Saccharomyces cerevisiae S288C: one gene and its partner. The gene in region 2 interacts genetically with the main gene of each other region. Each region holds a gene or a part of one and is shown on either strand. Other genes may lie near its edges. The genes, in order: PRP40 and SWT21.

The links.
Region 1: mutations in SWT21 (region 2) and PRP40 impair growth when combined (synthetic growth defect), as found in Saccharomyces cerevisiae (one study listed by BioGRID).

The regions. Positions count from the first base shown.
Region 1 is NC_001143.9:413,480-424,172, reverse strand, and holds PRP40 (snoRNA-splicing protein PRP40), read right to left. Parts: upstream 5,864-10,693; coding exon 4,112-5,863; downstream 1-4,111. Other genes in the region: putative ubiquitin-protein ligase UFD4, read left to right, coding at 1-2,749; CCE1 (cruciform cutting endonuclease), read left to right, coding at 2,957-4,018; ARC19 (Arc19p), read left to right, coding at 6,150-6,665; URB1 (Urb1p), read left to right, coding at 7,260-10,693. UniProt on the Saccharomyces cerevisiae protein: Required for pre-spliceosome formation, which is the first step of pre-mRNA splicing. This protein is associated with snRNP U1. Two commitment complexes, CC1 and CC2, have been defined in yeast. CC1 is a basal complex dependent only on the 5' splice site.
Region 2 is NC_001146.8:286,439-294,640, forward strand, and holds SWT21 (Swt21p), read left to right. Parts: upstream 1-1,555; coding exon 1,556-2,629; downstream 2,630-8,202. Other genes in the region: KAR1 (Kar1p), read left to right, coding at 1-1,171; ubiquitin-specific protease UBP10, read left to right, coding at 3,060-5,438; mitochondrial 54S ribosomal protein uL11m MRPL19, read right to left, coding at 5,755-6,231; YNL184C (uncharacterized protein), read right to left, coding at 6,119-6,445; serine/threonine protein kinase NPR1, read right to left, coding at 6,699-8,202. UniProt on the Saccharomyces cerevisiae protein: Involved in mRNA splicing. Helps to stabilize the U1 snRNP-5' splice site interaction.

The DNA of each region.
Region 1 (10,693 bases), on a different chromosome or scaffold from region 2:
GTCTAACGCTAATGGTACTTACTCATCAGAAGCTGGTACACTGTTGGTTGGTGGTCTCTCGTTGCTTGACTTAATTTGTAAAAAGTTTTCCGAACTGTTCTTTCCTTCCATCAAAAGAGAGGGCATTTTTGATTTGGTTAAGGATTTGTCTGTGGATTTCAATAACATTGATTTAAAGGAAGACGGGAATGAAAATATTTCACTTTCTGACGAAGAAGGGGATTTGCATAGCAGTATTGAGGAATGTGATGAGGGTGATGAAGAATATGATTACGAATTTACTGATATGGAAATTCCTGATTCAGTAAAACCAAAGAAAATTTCAATACACATTTTCAGAACTCTATCTCTAGCTTATATTAAAAACAAGGGTGTGAACCTAGTTAATAGAGTACTTTCTCAGATGAACGTTGAGCAAGAAGCAATAACAGAGGAGCTCCATCAAATCGAAGGCGTTGTTTCTATTTTAGAAAATCCTTCCACTCCGGACAAAACTGAAGAGGATTGGAAGGGAATTTGGTCTGTTTTAAAAAAATGTATTTTCCATGAAGATTTCGACGTGTCAGGTTTCGAATTTACTTCTACAGGGCTAGCTTCCTCCATAACTAAAAGAATTACATCCTCAACGGTATCCCATTTCATTCTTGCTAAATCATTTTTAGAGGTATTTGAGGATTGTATTGACAGATTTTTAGAAATCCTACAATCTGCTCTCACAAGGCTGGAGAATTTCTCTATAGTTGATTGCGGTTTACACGATGGTGGTGGTGTATCTTCACTGGCTAAAGAGATAAAAATTAAGTTGGTTTATGATGGCGATGCAAGCAAAGATAATATTGGTACTGATTTATCATCTACTATCGTTTCGGTCCATTGCATAGCTTCTTTTACCTCACTTAATGAGTTTTTGAGACACAGAATGGTAAGAATGCGTTTTTTGAATTCATTAATCCCAAACCTTACATCTTCCAGTACCGAAGCTGATAGGGAAGAAGAAGAAAATTGCTTGGATCATATGAGAAAAAAGAACTTTGACTTTTTTTATGATAATGAAAAAGTTGACATGGAGTCTACAGTATTTGGTGTGATATTTAATACATTCGTCAGGCGAAATCGTGACTTAAAAACTTTATGGGATGATACACATACAATCAAATTTTGCAAAAGTTTAGAAGGTAACAATAGAGAGAGTGAGGCAGCCGAGGAAGCTAATGAGGGGAAAAAGTTAAGAGATTTTTATAAAAAAAGAGAATTCGCACAGGTTGATACTGGATCTTCAGCGGATATTCTGACATTGCTGGATTTTCTACATAGCTGCGGTGTTAAAAGCGACAGTTTTATCAACTCAAAACTAAGCGCTAAGCTCGCTAGACAACTAGATGAACCATTGGTAGTAGCAAGTGGAGCTTTGCCGGATTGGTCACTATTTTTGACCAGGAGATTCCCATTTTTGTTTCCGTTTGATACCAGGATGCTTTTCCTACAATGTACTTCATTTGGTTACGGAAGATTGATTCAACTTTGGAAGAATAAGAGTAAAGGCTCGAAAGATTTAAGGAATGACGAAGCTTTACAACAACTTGGGAGAATTACTAGGCGTAAGCTGCGGATTTCAAGAAAAACAATATTCGCTACCGGTCTCAAGATTTTATCCAAGTACGGAAGTAGCCCTGACGTACTGGAAATTGAATATCAAGAAGAAGCAGGAACAGGTTTAGGACCGACTTTGGAATTTTACTCCGTAGTTTCCAAGTATTTTGCAAGAAAGTCGTTAAATATGTGGCGTTGTAACTCTTATAGTTACAGAAGCGAAATGGATGTTGATACTACTGACGATTATATTACCACTTTATTGTTCCCAGAGCCCCTCAACCCGTTTTCCAATAATGAAAAAGTTATTGAACTTTTTGGATATTTGGGGACATTTGTTGCCAGATCGTTGCTTGATAATAGAATTCTTGACTTTAGATTTAGCAAAGTCTTTTTTGAGTTATTGCACAGAATGTCTACGCCCAATGTGACGACAGTGCCGAGCGACGTTGAAACCTGTCTGTTAATGATCGAATTGGTAGATCCGTTACTCGCAAAATCCCTTAAATACATAGTAGCGAATAAGGATGACAATATGACCCTAGAATCGTTGTCCTTGACATTTACCGTTCCTGGAAATGATGACATTGAGTTGATTCCGGGGGGTTGTAATAAATCCTTGAACTCTTCTAATGTTGAAGAATATATCCATGGCGTTATCGACCAAATATTAGGTAAGGGCATTGAAAAACAGTTAAAAGCATTTATTGAAGGTTTTTCAAAGGTGTTTTCCTATGAGAGGATGCTAATACTTTTTCCGGATGAATTAGTGGATATTTTCGGACGAGTTGAGGAAGACTGGTCTATGGCAACTTTATACACAAACTTGAACGCTGAACATGGCTATACAATGGATTCTTCAATCATTCATGATTTTATATCAATAATATCCGCGTTTGGTAAGCATGAAAGAAGATTATTTTTGCAATTTTTAACGGGATCTCCCAAGCTTCCAATTGGGGGATTTAAAAGTTTGAACCCAAAGTTTACAGTTGTGTTAAAGCATGCTGAAGATGGCCTAACAGCAGACGAATATCTACCAAGTGTAATGACATGTGCTAATTATTTGAAATTGCCGAAGTATACTAGCAAAGATATTATGCGGTCTCGTCTTTGTCAAGCCATTGAAGAGGGTGCAGGAGCTTTTCTACTTTCCTAAATTTTAGTTACTTTTTCTATTTAAGTTTTATATGACTTCAAAATTATTTCTTAAGATACAAAAAATGGATGGAATCAGACTAAATTTCTTCGGATTATCCGTACTTTTCTCATTTTTTTGTTTCAACTGGCGATTCCATATTTGTTTATCCATTGCATACAACGAAGGCTTACGGTTATACAGTCTAAAGCTAAAAAAGATAGTAATATGTCGACAGCACAGAAAGCTAAGATATTGCAACTCATCGATTCCTGCTGCCAAAATGCAAAAAGCACACAACTGAAATCTTTATCATTTGTTATTGGAGCAGTAAATGGCACGACGAAAGAAGCTAAAAGAACCTACATTCAAGAACAGTGTGAATTTTTGGAGAAGTTACGACAACAAAAGATAAGAGAGGGAAGAATTAACATATTGTCTATGGATGCTGGTGTTTCTAACTTTGCTTTCTCTAAGATGCAATTGCTCAATAATGATCCGCTCCCTAAAGTACTAGACTGGCAAAAGATAAATCTAGAGGAGAAATTTTTTCAAAACCTCAAAAAGTTAAGCTTGAATCCTGCTGAAACTTCTGAGCTTGTATTTAACCTTACGGAGTATTTATTTGAATCTATGCCGATACCAGATATGTTTACAATTGAAAGGCAACGTACCAGAACTATGTCTTCGAGGCATATTTTAGACCCAATTTTAAAAGTGAATATTCTCGAACAGATTCTTTTCTCTAACTTGGAAAATAAAATGAAGTATACGAATAAAATACCGAATACGTCCAAGTTGAGGTATATGGTATGTTCGTCCGATCCACATCGGATGACTTCATATTGGTGCATTCCAAGAGAAGAGACACCGACCAGTTCAAAAAAGTTAAAATCTAACAAACATAGCAAAGATTCTCGAATAAAGCTAGTGAAAAAAATACTTTCAACCTCAATACTAGAAGGTAATTCAACTAGTTCTACAAAACTGGTCGAGTTCATAGGAGTTTGGAATAATAGGATAAGAAATGCCCTTACCAAAAAAAAAAGTTTCAAGCTATGTGATATACTAGAGATCCAAGATAATTCGGGGGTGAGAAAAGATGACGATTTGGCAGATTCATTCCTCCATTGTTTGTCTTGGATGGAGTGGTTAAAAAATTATGAAAGTATTACTGAACTCTTGAATTCAAAAACACTGGTTAAAACACAGTTCGGACAGGTGTTTGAATTTTGTGAAAATAAGGTACAAAAGCTGAAATTTTTGCAGAACACTTACAACAATGACTAAGAAATTGTGCGGTGATCGCAAACTTGAAATAACATGTAATCTCTATGTATAATTTATATAATGATTAACAAGATAGAGGTCGACACGTCAGAATCAATAGTCCAATTCCACAGCCGGAGTTAAATGCCTCTTTTTTGACGCGGTCAACGTTAAGTTTGCAGTAGCGCTTTCGGCAGTCGGTGCAGAGCTTTCAGGCTTAAAATCCTCGAAAATTTGTCTTCTTATGTTATCTTCATCGCCTAGTGCCTTGTATTCAAGAGATTCGCCAAGCTCTTTGGAAGCTAAATCCCACGTACTAGGCTTGGGCTTACCGGTTTTTGTATATGTCCTTTGCAAAAGTAACCAAAAATAGTGCTTCTTTTGCTCCAATATCCTACGCTCATTTTGGAGTTTCTGTTGTATCTTTTCGTTTCTTTGCTTTATCAAACCATCAACAATCAAACTGATGTCTTCTTTATCCACCTTGTCAAATTTCCGGTCATTTTCCAGAACTTTTTCTATGTTTTGCTTGGTGATCTCGTCGCTATCGGCATCATTCCATTCAAAATTTTGATCTATCAACGTCTGTTGGGCTATTGATCTTTGTGCAAAGATGTACATCCTTTGTTCATCAACAAAATCTAAAAATAAATCAAGGCAGGACGAGCCATTCCTTCCAAGCATATGTAAAAAGCGCGGATCAGACTTTATATGAGGATAAATATCTGACCATCTAGTATTTGCTTTGATTTTGATTGGCACTTCTCTTAATAAGCTTTTAAAGTTATCTCTAGCAATACGGTCTCTGGTATAATTGCGCAGTCGGAGCTCATTTAGTTTGTTTTGAAGATCGTTTTCAATCGTATTTACTATTTTCAGATACTCGTTTAAAACATCTTCGTGGGTTAAGACTTTGAAGTGCCGGTTCGCCATATATCTCTTACTCTTATCAAAAACATAGTGATTTAAAAGCTGCTGCCAGGTTATGAAAGTTTCAGAGGATGATGTTGTTATAATACCGTTTAAATACTCTCTTAGTTCTTTTAGGGCCTGTGTTTTCAATTTTTTTTTTGATTCTTTCTGAGTGTCGATGAGGGTATCTATATAATCTTGAAAGGTCTGTCTCTTTGTCTTTTCATTGACCACGGAGTGTTTGTATATTGGTTCGTCGGCAATTAGTCTCTTTGCGGTAGGCCAACGGGTGTAATATTTTATATGAGAATTGTTTTGCAACATTTTCTGAAAGGCTTCTTTGAATTTGCTTGTTTCATTGTGTTCCTTAAGAAGTTGATCGGCTGATCTATTGGAAAGATATTTCTCAAACATTTCTTTCTTCCATAAGGGGTCATCATCGACCATCCAATACCTTGGATCTCTGGTCCCCAGTTCTGAAATAATTCTACTGAATGACCAAGTAGAGTCTACTTGATTTTCCTTCAGCATGGTAATAAATTCCTTCTCTGCTTCTTCTTTAGTCCTTCTCCTGACATTAAGCAGTTTAGAGTTATTAGCATATTGGCTTTCCTCCTCGTTTATAGTTCGTCCCGGCTCTTGTTTTTCTCCAGCCGTAAGGGCTATTCTATTTCCATTAACCTGTGCATGGGATACTGTATCATGTTTTTGTTCTGCGATGGGTTCTACTTTCTTCTCGAAGGCCGGAATAGTCCAGCTGGTTTCTCTTGTTGTTGGATTATAATAGTATACTTTGCCGTCTGCCGTCTTGGCCGCCTTCCAGCCATTTTCTCGAAGAAGTAGCTCCTCCTGAGAAATTAGTTCCTTGGGCTTCTCCCACGTAGATTTCTTTGTCAAAGTATTGTAATAATATATCCTTCCACTTGCATCTTTAGCTTCCTTCCAAATAGACATAGTTTCACGTCTCCCACCTCCGGCAATGCTTGTCTAGTGGTCGATCTGGCTTCAGACCTTGTTATCCTGATAGGTAGGCACGCTATTGCGATGTCATCAACTGCCAGATTTCCAAGTACATTATTATTGTCGATAATTTCATATCGTTTACCACGTCGCCCCTTTTGTATAGCAAAATACAATTATAGAACAAAAAAAGCCTGTAAAGCCAAGCAAATAGAGGCTTTCGGAACAACTCGGTGTCACTTTGACAAAAGATAAAAGAGGAAGCAACTGATAGTAGGAAATGTCACAATCATTACGTCCGTATCTAACGGCTGTTCGTTATTCCCTGGAAGCTGCGTTGACTTTGAGCAATTTCTCTTCGCAGGAAGTGGAGAGGCACAACAGACCGGAAGTTGAAGTCCCTAACACTAGCGCCGAATTGTTGCTCCAACCGATGCATATATCTCGTAATGAAAATGAACAAGTATTGATTGAGCCCAGTGTAAACTCGGTGCGTATGAGTTTAATGGTGAAACAGGCAGATGAAATTGAGCAGATTTTAGTTCACAAGTTTACTAGATTTTTGGAACAGCGTGCTGAAGCATTCTACATTCTGAGACGTGTACCAATACCTGGCTACAGTATTTCTTTTCTAATAACTAATAAGCATACTGAATCAATGAAAACTGGGAAATTGGTTGATTTTATTATTGAATTCATGGAGGACGTGGATAAGGAAATCAGTGAAATTAAACTGTTTTTGAATGCCAGAGCAAGATTTGTTGCGGAAGCATATCTTGATGAATTTGTCTATTAGATTCCTAATATAGGAAAGGGAATCTTTCTCCGTCAGGGCCCTATTGACGGAAAACTTTACGATCTGTACTGACTGTGTTAGTTTGCGTACTCAATTGAACTATTTCGAGACTATTTAGTTAGATACAATAACATGTGTATGTGAATTAATTATAAACGTACTTTTAAATTGCAGTTACTTTGTATAATTATGGTGATTTTTTTAGTACTTAAATTATATTCATAAAAAGGGATTAAAATGTTTCTCCCGACACCTAAAATTAAACTTCAATCTGTCAATTCTAACACAAAACGTTTTCATTTTACGTAAACAAATGAAGATTGAAGATTCTAAAGCATTTATTATTACTGCCGCACTAGTATACGACCAAACTAAAATTATATGATAATAGTGCACCAACATATAGTAAACAGCTTTTACCTATGCACGACTTGCATGAGGATTTCAATATTATATCACTGTAGACGAAATATGAAAAATTTCAGCAATAAAGCTCATCGCAAAGAATAGTTCGGTTATATTCTTGATTGGATATTATTTCTCTAATCTATGCGGTACTACTTCATCTAACAGAACTAGAGGAGCACTTACATAATGAGTAATCATAGCGAAGCCTATGGATCTCGCGACCAGAGAAGGGAGAAGTACACCCAAGGGAAAGAGTTCGAAGACGGTACATTAGAAACACTAGAAAGTATAATCAGTGCAGTCGAAGATGAAACTCTCTCCAAAGATTACCAACCTCTAATAGTGTTCTTCCAAAGAGGATTTGGTGCTCAATTGGTACAGACTTGGTCATATTATGCTCAAGTAAATAACCATGGGAAATTCTCGAAAACTACCTCATTACTGACTAAAACCTTACGAGTTTTGTCATCTGATACTAGTACAGTGACTATTGGGAGCGGTCTAATTAGATTGATATTGACCGATTACACAAAAGTTCTCTATAGAGGGTTGAACAATATGCGTGCGCAATTAACTAATCCAATTCTTCGTCTACTCAAACAAATAGTCAATTTCAACAATGGGCAACATATAGAGGAATTAGTTTCATATTTCGATTTTTCATTACCTATTTTACCAAGACTGTTGGTACCAAGCAAGTCTGAGTTAGCCAATGGGAATTCATCTGCTGATTCATCCAAACATGACTCATTAAGATTTACATTTATCAAGTTTTGGTTGACATTGATCTCAAATGCTTCCCCATTCGTGAGAAAAGAACTTTTGACAGAAAACTTTAAGATTATGAGCAACCTATTTAAATTCATGAATAAGGCTGATTCTGACAAGTTATCTGAGCACATACTATCGGTATTCATAAACGACATTTTAAAGGAGAAATCCTTCAAGAGAACTACTAAAACCAAAATTTTAAATGAACTAGCGGCTTCAAAGATTCATCACTTTTATTATTCATCAAACAAGAATTTGGTTAAGAAGGCAAATGAGTTTTTCTTAACTTTTGGAGCTTCCCGTGACTTTAGCGTAGCATTTCCTGATAATTGCGTTTGGTTCAAAAATTCAGTTGCTGATGGAGCTTCTCATGGAGCTCCGATAACCGTCAACCAAGTGGAATTTCAAATTCATAATAAACTTTTGTTCAACACTTTACGCCTTTTCAAACCTTGGGAAGATACGCTGCAATTAGGTACGTTGATCAAAATATTGGAGAACGTTCCCGAACTTGTTGCTCCTTACAGCATCTTTTTAACGACGAATGGTAACTATGACCCTAAGATGACTTCGTATTGGTTTGGTATAACGTTACTGATTAACAAGATTATTAATCTTAAGATACCGCAATTTATGGAGAAAGTTGATAGCAATATTCCACCTGCCACTTCATTAGTTATAGAAAACATTCTGCCATCTTTGCTCACCAAATCCTCGTTGGTTAAATCCCTACAATTTGAAACACCCATCATAAGACAATTAGCCTGTCAATCAATAGTTCTAGCGTTAAAAAAATTAGAAAAAGTTTCCACATTTTATGATCAAAAAGGCTGGAGAAATGAAAAAACTATTTTACTCAACGAGTTTCATACTAGAATTCCTGATTTACCAATCTTCGTATCTACTTTGAGCAATTCTTTGGCTTCCAATAAGGATAATAGAATTTTACCTCTGTCCATATCCATCATATTCAACTACTATAGTAAAATGTTCCCCAACCTCTTCTCAATTAACCTACCATCATCAAATATTTACACAGATATCATGCAAAAATCCAAGATTTCTGGCATAGAATTTGCTATTCTGGACAACTACTTACAATTTCAAGAATTTAACTCTACTCAAACCAGGTGGTGGAATCCAAGTTCTGGTGGAAATTCTTTATTCACCCTACTATTAAAGCTAGCATCCTCCAAAAATGCTTCTAACGTGATAACTACAAGAATATCCAACTTGCTCGATGAGCTGACGAGAACAAACGTTATCTTCAACATATCTTTAATTTCACCAGTGATGGCTTTAGTGAATAGTCTTCAAGGGCTTTCCCTTCAAGTTTCTGAAATTGACAACATGGAACAAGTCTGGAAGTGGTTTGACGAAACTATATCTCGTGTCGTAAAAACACCATACAAGTACGTCGATATGGCAAAAGAGTATAACTACATTTCTCCCTTCATAATGTGCCTTTCAGAGCAATGGAAATACGTTGACAAGAGTGGAAACCCAGAGTTTTTAATTAAATGGCTTATACTTTTTCTTAGAAACATGATTTTCATTGGTGAAGACCATATAGGCATAGATAAACTTGTTAAAAATGTCTTTCCTGAGGTCTCTGATCATGATGTTAATATATACTTGAAACTTGACTCATTTGAAGAAAACATAAAGAAAACTAATAGCTCTAATTCTTTAATTTCTTCAATGAAGAGCTCATCTTTTTTCCAGTATATTTCGGCGCTTCCATCTAAAAATCTAATGAATATTTCTAGATTACCAGTGAACAAATTAGATGCGGCAGGAATCCTTTTTAGAGTTCAGTTATTGGTAGAAGACGATTCTGTTGTATATGACAATTGGTTCGAAGCAACTGCCTGTGAGTTAACTGGCAAGATTGCTAGCTACATGGTAACAGACACAGAATTCCCAATTATCAAAGTTTTGGAAAGGTATATAAATTTCGCTTTACCAAAACTGGCCATTGAAAAAAGAAATGCTCTACTCATGAAAAAATCAAGGTTCATGTGCAATTTAATCGGTGCAGTATGCTTTGAAACAGGCCATCAATTAGTGGAATTCCGAGAAATAATTCAAAAAGTCGTGTTTAGTGGTGAAAATGTCGAAGAGTATGCCAACTATAATGAGTTGTATCAGAAAGAAGATGTAAATGCTTTCTTAACAAGTGTTAGTGAGTATTTAAGTACTTCAGCTTTAACTTCGCTACTCATGTGTAGCACCAAACTAGAGTCCACAAGAAACATTCTCCAAAAATTATTCAACGAAGGAAAAACTATAAAAATATCCCTTGTAAAGAATATACTGAACAAAGCTGCAAATGAAGATCCTGCTTCAATTAAGGAAGTAAACATCTCTTTGGCTAAATTTTTTGAAGAAAACAAAGTTTGTGTTGATGCTTCATCTGATCCTATGGGTAAGCTATCCCTTTCAGAAACTACTTCTCTGATAAATAGTTTTGTGTCTAGTGATTTGAATTATCTAGTACTGAAAGCTTTTTACAGATGGGAACATTTTTCTTTCCCATCTTTCATACCAAGTATCTGGAGGATCAAGGATTCACCTTTACTAAGTATTGTAACAACGGCTGCTTTGTTCAAGCACATGCAGGATAAAGATTTTAGCGCATTTGCGCATGAAACCATTTCCAAGTATGGTAATGAAATTGCGAAAAGTACTTACACTACCTCGAAAAGTGAGATTTTTGACGAAATATTAAATATGATTACCACTTATATTGATTTCTATGACGAAACGAAACGAAATGAAATTTTGAAATGTGTTTTATCACAGAGCGACCATAAATATCATGCTGCTACAGTAAGATACATAGCTGC
Region 2 (8,202 bases):
AATTGTTTCAAGTAATACAACGTCAATTATGACAGATGATGCATTTGATTACAATGAGGGCATTGCATCGCGTACCAAAAATATTAATTCTGATAGTGATAGAAGCAATGATACCATAAAACAAAACAACTACAATAAAAGGGAGACCGGATATAACCCTTTCTACAATGGATCAGGGATCAATCAGCGATATACACAGTTTCGAAAAAGAGAGTTTGAACCAACACTTGCAGAAAACAAAGCCGAAGAGTACATATCGGACGAAGATAATGTAAAAATTGATGAAGATAATATAGAGAACGAACTCCAGTTTACGCCGAAAATTAAAGAGGCTAGTATACTCCGATCTAGTTTACTAGGACAAAGAAATGTTTTAAATACTCGGAATCCAAAATCAAAAGAATCACACATTAAAGTAAAACCCATCATCAATAACAAGAGCTCCTCACAAAGAAAATCTAGTGCAGCACTTCGGAAACAATTAGGAAAACCCCTACCGCTGCCGTATTTGAATAGCCCTAATAGTGATAGTACACCCACATTACAGAGAAAAGAAGAAGTATTCACAGACGAAGTGCTTCAAAAAAAGAGAGAATTGATTGAGTCTAAATGGCATAGACTTCTCTTTCATGACAAAAAAATGGTGGAAAAAAAGCTAGAAAGTTTAAGAGAATACGAAAGGAAAAGAATGCCTCCACGAGGAACTGATGTTTCTAGCTCTGAGCAGGACAATTCTTTCAAAATATCGACGCCAACAAAATCGTATGTTTCTTTGGAGCAAAAACCCTTACCAAATCTCTCTGCTATGAATAACTTTAATGATGTTACCGACAATAAGGAGAAAGAAGAAACGAACAACAATATATTAAAGTTCCAAGCGCAACGAGATCCATTACAAATACTACAGTCTGAGATCGAAATGCATACTAAGAAACTTGACACGATAATAGAGTTACTAAAAGACGATACCGATTCAAAGGAAAAAAGGAAAGTAGTGACTAATGACAACGCAGCGCCTGAACAAATGGTCAACAAAGGATGGCGGAAAAACGTGATGATGATCTACAAAAAATCAGGAAATATTATGAAAAAGTATAGGGAATATTTCTTATGGACAATTTGTATTTTAATATTGTTATATTGCAATATATATGTGTATTATAGGTTTTAAACCATATAAAGGTTAGTACATGAAGAAGTGTGTACAGTTATGGCAATAACTGTTCTCTTCCGTTTTAAAGAGAGTATTATCACGGTCTGAAAATTAAGCAAAAAAAGAAAAGCGTGCACTTAAAAATCGGTGGTGGACAGACCGCATATTCCATAAACATAGATGGTACAAGGGCATTATGAGTCCTTGAATAGAAAAAATGATGAAAGAATGAATGCAATTCCGTATTGCGACACTGGCGAAGTGTTCGAGGCTGACACGATAGCGAATGTATGGAAAAGAGAAGATAAGGAATGGTTAAAAAGGACTCAAAGTGATCGAAGTGGATACGAGTATCCACGACTAGGAGAATCACCATATATCAATATGACAGACGACTTCAGAATGGAAAAGAAGGTAATATGTCAAGATATCTTTTGGTCATGTGATGGTACATCGTTTGTTTCTGTGCATAATGATTTTGGCATCAGACAATATTTAGTGCCGGAGGAAAGTAATACGGACAAGCTAAACAGAAACCTCCTTCTACCATTTACAAGGTTTTTTAGAAACCAGTCTATTGTTTCATGTGCAATAGACCCGTTTTACACGCTTTATAACGAGAATTCCGACAGGTTAGCTGGTGACAGAATCGTGGTTGGAGGAAAAAACTTCCCTCTACAACTATACTCTTTGATGGACGGGCAGTGTATCCTCAGCTATGACACGATGAACAAAATAAATGGAGAATACGAAACTGTATACAGTGTGAAAATCGATGTTGAGTCTCGTGTATACACTGGCTCATGCCGTAACAAAGTGGCGATATACGACAAGAGCAGACGAGATGCCGTGTGGATGAACCAGAGTACCAAAAAAGCAAGCAAGGGAAGACAAAGCATTATATCTTGCTTTGAAGAGCAACCAATGGGAGGGCAAGCTCTCTCAAGAGGATCTCTATTGTGTGGCAGTTATGCGAATGAAATGTTTCAGGTAGACTGCCGTCATCAACGACTAGAGAGACTGAACTACACCCGCACAGTTGCAGGTGGGATTGTACAAATCCTTACAAGCGATAACGGGCGTTACGTGTACGTTGTCAGACGCAACAGTGACGCGATTAGTATTTACGATCGGCGAAACCTGCAGCACGAGCTTAACGTATTGCGCCTACCGTTTCGGATCCACCACAACTCTGCAAAGTTGAAGGCATATATAGATACGGCTTACGGACTAAGTATGGGGACGCCGCAGGGAACAATATTGAACTGGGGTCGAGACCTTGTGGAATTTGGAGGTGTTCCCTCACACAATAGTGTTGAAGACCCACTAATCACGTCTATCCCGCCAGAGTCAGAGTGGCGCACTAACCTTGATTCTACTATTCCTGCCACGGTAGTGAAGAATTGTCCTGGGGATCCCGAACTGTTCGCCCTATCTCATGGGGGCACAATTTCATTATGCAGGTTCGGCGGCTAAAAACGGCAAACCCGTATTCGTGTATCACCCGGCCAGCTTTCTCCGATGAACGCGCACAAGTAAGAAGTTAAATTGCATCCCCCAGACACCACCTCTTTTGTTCACTTCTTGCCTCATGCCGTCAAAAAATTTTTTTCGCATCGAAAAAAATCCCCAAAAGAAAAGAAAAAAGTTCTTATTTTTATATAGTGCCACCATCGGGAAAAACTTCCCTGTAAAGCATTAACAGAGTCTTCCATCCCCGCTTCTGTCCTTTATTTGTTTCATAGAAGCTATTAAGCATCATATACTGCACACAGGAGCATGCATAGTGTCTGAAGCCTCTTTTGTTCTGTACTGCACATAATATTTCATAGAAAAACTAACGGAAAGAATCTACAACTCATAGTATCTGTAAATCCGTCCTATTGTCATATCACAATCACAGACTATGACCACTCAAGAATCGATCAAACCTTTGGTAGATAGAATCCTATCAAATCCCCTGCAGTTCAATGCTGCAATGATCTCTAACAAATCGAATAATAATGATACTTCCGCCGCGCCGGAAAATAGCTCGTATATTGTGATAGGAAAACAGCATAATAACAATAGTAATAGCACAGCTATTGCTGCAACGGCCGAATCCAAGCAAATAAAAGAAAATAACTTGATAGACAGGCCAAACGGAAAGAAAACCAACACTGTTCCTAAATCTATGGCTGAAGCTTTATTGTTGTATACTTCTAAAAATGATAAAGATGCTGCAGATGCTACTGGTGCCAAGAAGTCAGCGGAGCTTTCTACGGAGCTTTCTACGGAGCCTCCTTCCTCTTCTTCGGAAGATGACAAAGTAGGAAAAGAGGAAGAGGAAGAGGGTGAAATATTTCATGAGGCAAGAGACTATGTAGAACCCCGAAAAGCTAGTTTGAAGGAACGCGACAACGCAGATAAGGGCGATGGTGAAGACATCGGCGAAGACATCGGTGAAGACATCGGTGAAGACATCGGTGAAGACATTGGTGAAGACATTGGTGAAAACTTGGGTTCTCCATTAGCAACCATTGATGATTCATCTAATGAGAATGAAAAGGAAAAAAGAAAGGAACTGTCTACAAGCATTAGCAGTGATGACGAAATAGAAGACGACGAGGATGAGGATGACATGGATTATGATTCTAGTGCTATGGAAAAAGAGCTCCCTGAAGAAGAGGAGAACGATTCCAGCTCCAAAATTTCTGAAGGCGAAAAAAAGAGTTTATATCAAGATTTAATGGAAAATAGTACAGTGGAAGTAAATCGGTACGAACCAGTAAACAACACCAAAGAAAATGGAAACAGGAATCCAAAGGGAGAGGAGGAGGAAGAAGAGGAAGAAGAGCTGAAACATAAATCTAGGTCAATCACCCCTCCGGTTACAATATCAAATCTATCAAACTTTTACCAATTCAATGAAAATATCAATGATCGTGGTTCTTTAAACTCTACTAGAATTGTTAAAAATTGGGGCGACAAATTCACCAATTTGAAGCCTCGTGGCCTTTTGAATCATGGTGTTACTTGTTACACAAATGCTGCTGTACAGGCTATGTTACACATTCCTTCGATACAACATTATCTTTTTGATATACTAATGGGGAAATACGATAGCACCATCTCAAAAAATTCCGTTTCCTATACTTTAGCTGAAACAAGTAAAAAAATGTGGTTACCGGTCTCAAAAAACCCTAGAAAGAACGTTTCAGCTTCCTACATTAATCCAAAACATTTGATTTCCAGATTGGATGACATTAATTGTATGATGAGCGAATGGCAGCAGGAAGATTCACATGAGTACTTCATGTCTCTGATGTCAAGATTACAGGAAGATTCTGTTCCCAAGGGTCATAAACTTATAGAATCGATAATATATGACATATTCGGTGGTCTTTTAAAGCAGATCGTTACTTGCAAATCTTGTGGCAGTATATCTAAAACAGAACAACCATTTTACGATTTATCGTTGCACTTGAAAGGGAAGAAAAAACTTGATCCAAATTCTGACCTGTCGAGTGATAGCATTAACGGCACTTCAGCCACCACTTCTACCACTACCTCCAATGCTGCCACAAAACCATCTCTTTCATCCTCTTCATCTGTCAATTTAAACAATGGCTCACCATTTGCCGCTGCCAGTGATTTAAGTTCAGCCAACCGCAGATTTTCTATTGAAAAATCAATTAAAGATTTCTTCAATCCCGAATTAATCAAGGTTGACAAGGAGCAAAAGGGTTACGTTTGTGAGAAGTGTCACAAGACCACGAACGCCGTGAAGCATAGTTCAATATTAAGGGCTCCTGAAACTTTACTTGTGCATCTGAAAAAATTCAGATTCAATGGCACGTCCTCATCAAAAATGAAGCAAGCTGTTTCTTATCCTATGTTTTTAGATTTGACGGAATATTGTGAGAGTAAAGAGCTACCTGTCAAATACCAACTATTAAGCGTGGTGGTTCATGAGGGCCGCTCCCTTTCTTCAGGTCACTACATTGCCCACTGCAAGCAACCAGACGGTAGCTGGGCCACTTACGACGACGAGTATATTAATATAATATCTGAAAGGGACGTTTTAAAGGAACCCAACGCATATTATCTCCTATACACGAGGCTAACTCCAAAATCGGTTCCATTGCCATTGGCGAAATCTGCCATGGCCACTGGTAATGTTACCTCTAAATCCAAACAGGAACAGGCTGTTAACGAACCAAATAACCGCCCATTGAAGATTAATAGCAAGAAAAATAACAGAAAAAAATGGAAAAAAAATAAAAAAAGGAAGTTCACCAAATGAAAAAACTCGATATTCCTGGATTTTCCTCTTTTCATAGGCATTTTTATTAGCATTTCATTTTTATTATACCAAATCAATATATACATATAAATATCCGGTCTTTATTGACTTATAAAACAACTCTCAGTATACAGAGTTGGAGAAGCGTTTACTCAGAATAGCTTCAGTACTACCGAGCTTTGCTAACATAACGGGAGAAAGAGAATTTAAAACTTATATACATATTTACAGAATAGATCAGTAGAAAGAAGAAGGAAGGTCTGTTGAAAATTTCTCGAAATTGACGGTACTTTTTTGTCTTTTCACTACTTACAGATCAAGGTACAACCTTAATACCCATACTTTTTGCAACGCCAACTATTGATTTAACAATACCTTCCATCTCCAATAAACTATGCCTTTCATCACTCTTTTTTATCTTGGCTATTTCGTAAACGTGCTTCAGCGATAACTCTCCTAAAGCACGGGTTGGTCCCTTGGCAGGTGCACTGCCTAACATTGTCCCCACATTCGGTTGTCCATGTCCCTTGTCCATTTTAAGAGCTTTTAGCAGCAAATATCCGGTTGGTGGAGATTTCATTTCAAACGTAAATGTTCTATCAGGTTTTATTGTGATTAATACTGGAACCGGTACACCTGGCTGATAGTTTGCTGATCTTGCATTAAATTCCTTACAAAAGTCAATGGCTTTTATACCCTTGGAGCCCAATGCGGGCCCCACGGGAGGTGATGGTGCCGCTTGGCCTGCTCCTACTATTAGCTTTACTATCACGTTTTTTGCTGCCTGTGACATTATGGAGACTAATAGTTCCTCTATGGTATTCGAGAGTTCGAAAGTACAACAAACAGAAATAAATACAGAAGGTTACGCTGTCGATTTGAATGTTCACGCTTTTTTTCCTTCTTATGAGTTGTAGATTTACTGCACTTTCTAAAGCTTCTTTGCTGTGAAATTTTAGAAAAGGGAATTGTCGCCTTGGTAAGACAATTAATGTTACCCGCTTCATTATTATTAATTAGTGGCGCGATATTTTAACGAACTTTTCCATTAATTATTATCATACTAAGCTTTTACATTTTTCTGATAAAATAGTAGATTATGAACAGGAGGTCAATCTATTTAGGCTTCTATAGAACGGTAAAATATGAAATTAGTTTAACAGAAGTAAATATGACATTGTATTTTAACATATACTCAAATAGGATAAAAAAAGGTTATATACAAATGCTTGGAAAAGAAATAAAAGTGGGGACGCTTATTTATTGATTATTTTGCTTTTTCTTTTTCTTTTCTAGGCCTGCAATATGTGCTTCACTTTGATCCACTTGTGTGTGATGATGGTCTTCTCCTCTAACCACTTTGAACGATAATCCATCTTCAACCAAGTGGCACATATCAATGCTACGGATCCAAGGATCTTCCATGATTTCTTCGATATTTCCTCTGCATGCGGGCGCCAAATCAATCATACGTCCAACAATATGCTGAGTCTCTTCTGGTAATGAGTGCAACAATCTTTGTGGCCCGATATTAACATTATTAGGATCTGATACATTATTGGAAGAGCTTTCGGGTTTTTTCTTTTCTGTTGAGTGCGATTCATCGTAGGAAGGTGGATCAGGAGTTCTTGTAACCAAGCTACTTAAGGAGTCGCAATCACGTCCGGAACAAAATAGTTTGAATGAATTGTCCCTTAATTTCGGAATTTTCCATGGAAATTTCTTCAGTATCATACATGCAAAAATGATTGCAGAAGACCAAATATCTACGGGACGTGGGTCATACTTCGCAAATATACAGACTTCAGGTGCTAAATATGGATCACTTCCAACAATTCCACTTGCTTCCACAAGATTTTTTGAGAATGGATATGAAAATACCACAGCAGCACCAAAATCGATTAATTTTACAATACCTTTTTCGTTTATAACACAATTATCTAGCTTTAGATCTCTATGAGCTAAGCCGATACTATGCAAATATTGTACACCAGTAAGTATTTGTTTGAAGCAACAACAAATCTCTTCATAGGACATTTTATTACTCATTACAATAGCAAATAAATCGTATTCACAATATTCCATAACTTGGAGAATTCTATCATTTTCATACACGATTTCAATTGTTTCAATGATATTGGGATGATTCAAAGTTGTACCAATACAGTATTCTGATGTAATTTTCTTGACATAATCTCTTTTGGATTCATTTTCAAATTTAGTTCTAAACTCCTTCACTGCAAATATTTTGTTATCTGAAATTCTTTGAGCTAATTTGACAGAACCTCCTGCTCCAGCGCCTAAATCGGCACCGGTTTTGATGTACCTTTTTGAGAACGGAATTCCTGAACCGCCGTGACTATGAGAATAAATAGTATCTCCATTTCCGTTATAACTAGTGGAATATGAGTTATTCCCTGCGGCAAAATGAGACGATGAATGAGAGTGTGACGGAACGGCAATTCCGCTAGAAAGAGGTGATCCGTTCGGGATCACGTTGTTACTATTCGAGGAAAGGTTACTGTTAGAACTTTTTTTGAAGAACCTCTTTAAATCACCGATGGAAGAATGTTGTGACCTTGGAACACTTTGACTTGGAGGTAAGTGGTCATGTACAGATGAGGGGGAACCGTAAAAGTTATCAGTATAGGAACCAGTTGGCTGTCTTGATGCAGAATATATGCTGCTTTGTCTTGCGCGGATAGGCTTCGGGATAGGCGTCGAACCATTGGTAACATTGGGATTCTTAATGTTTGGAGAAGGA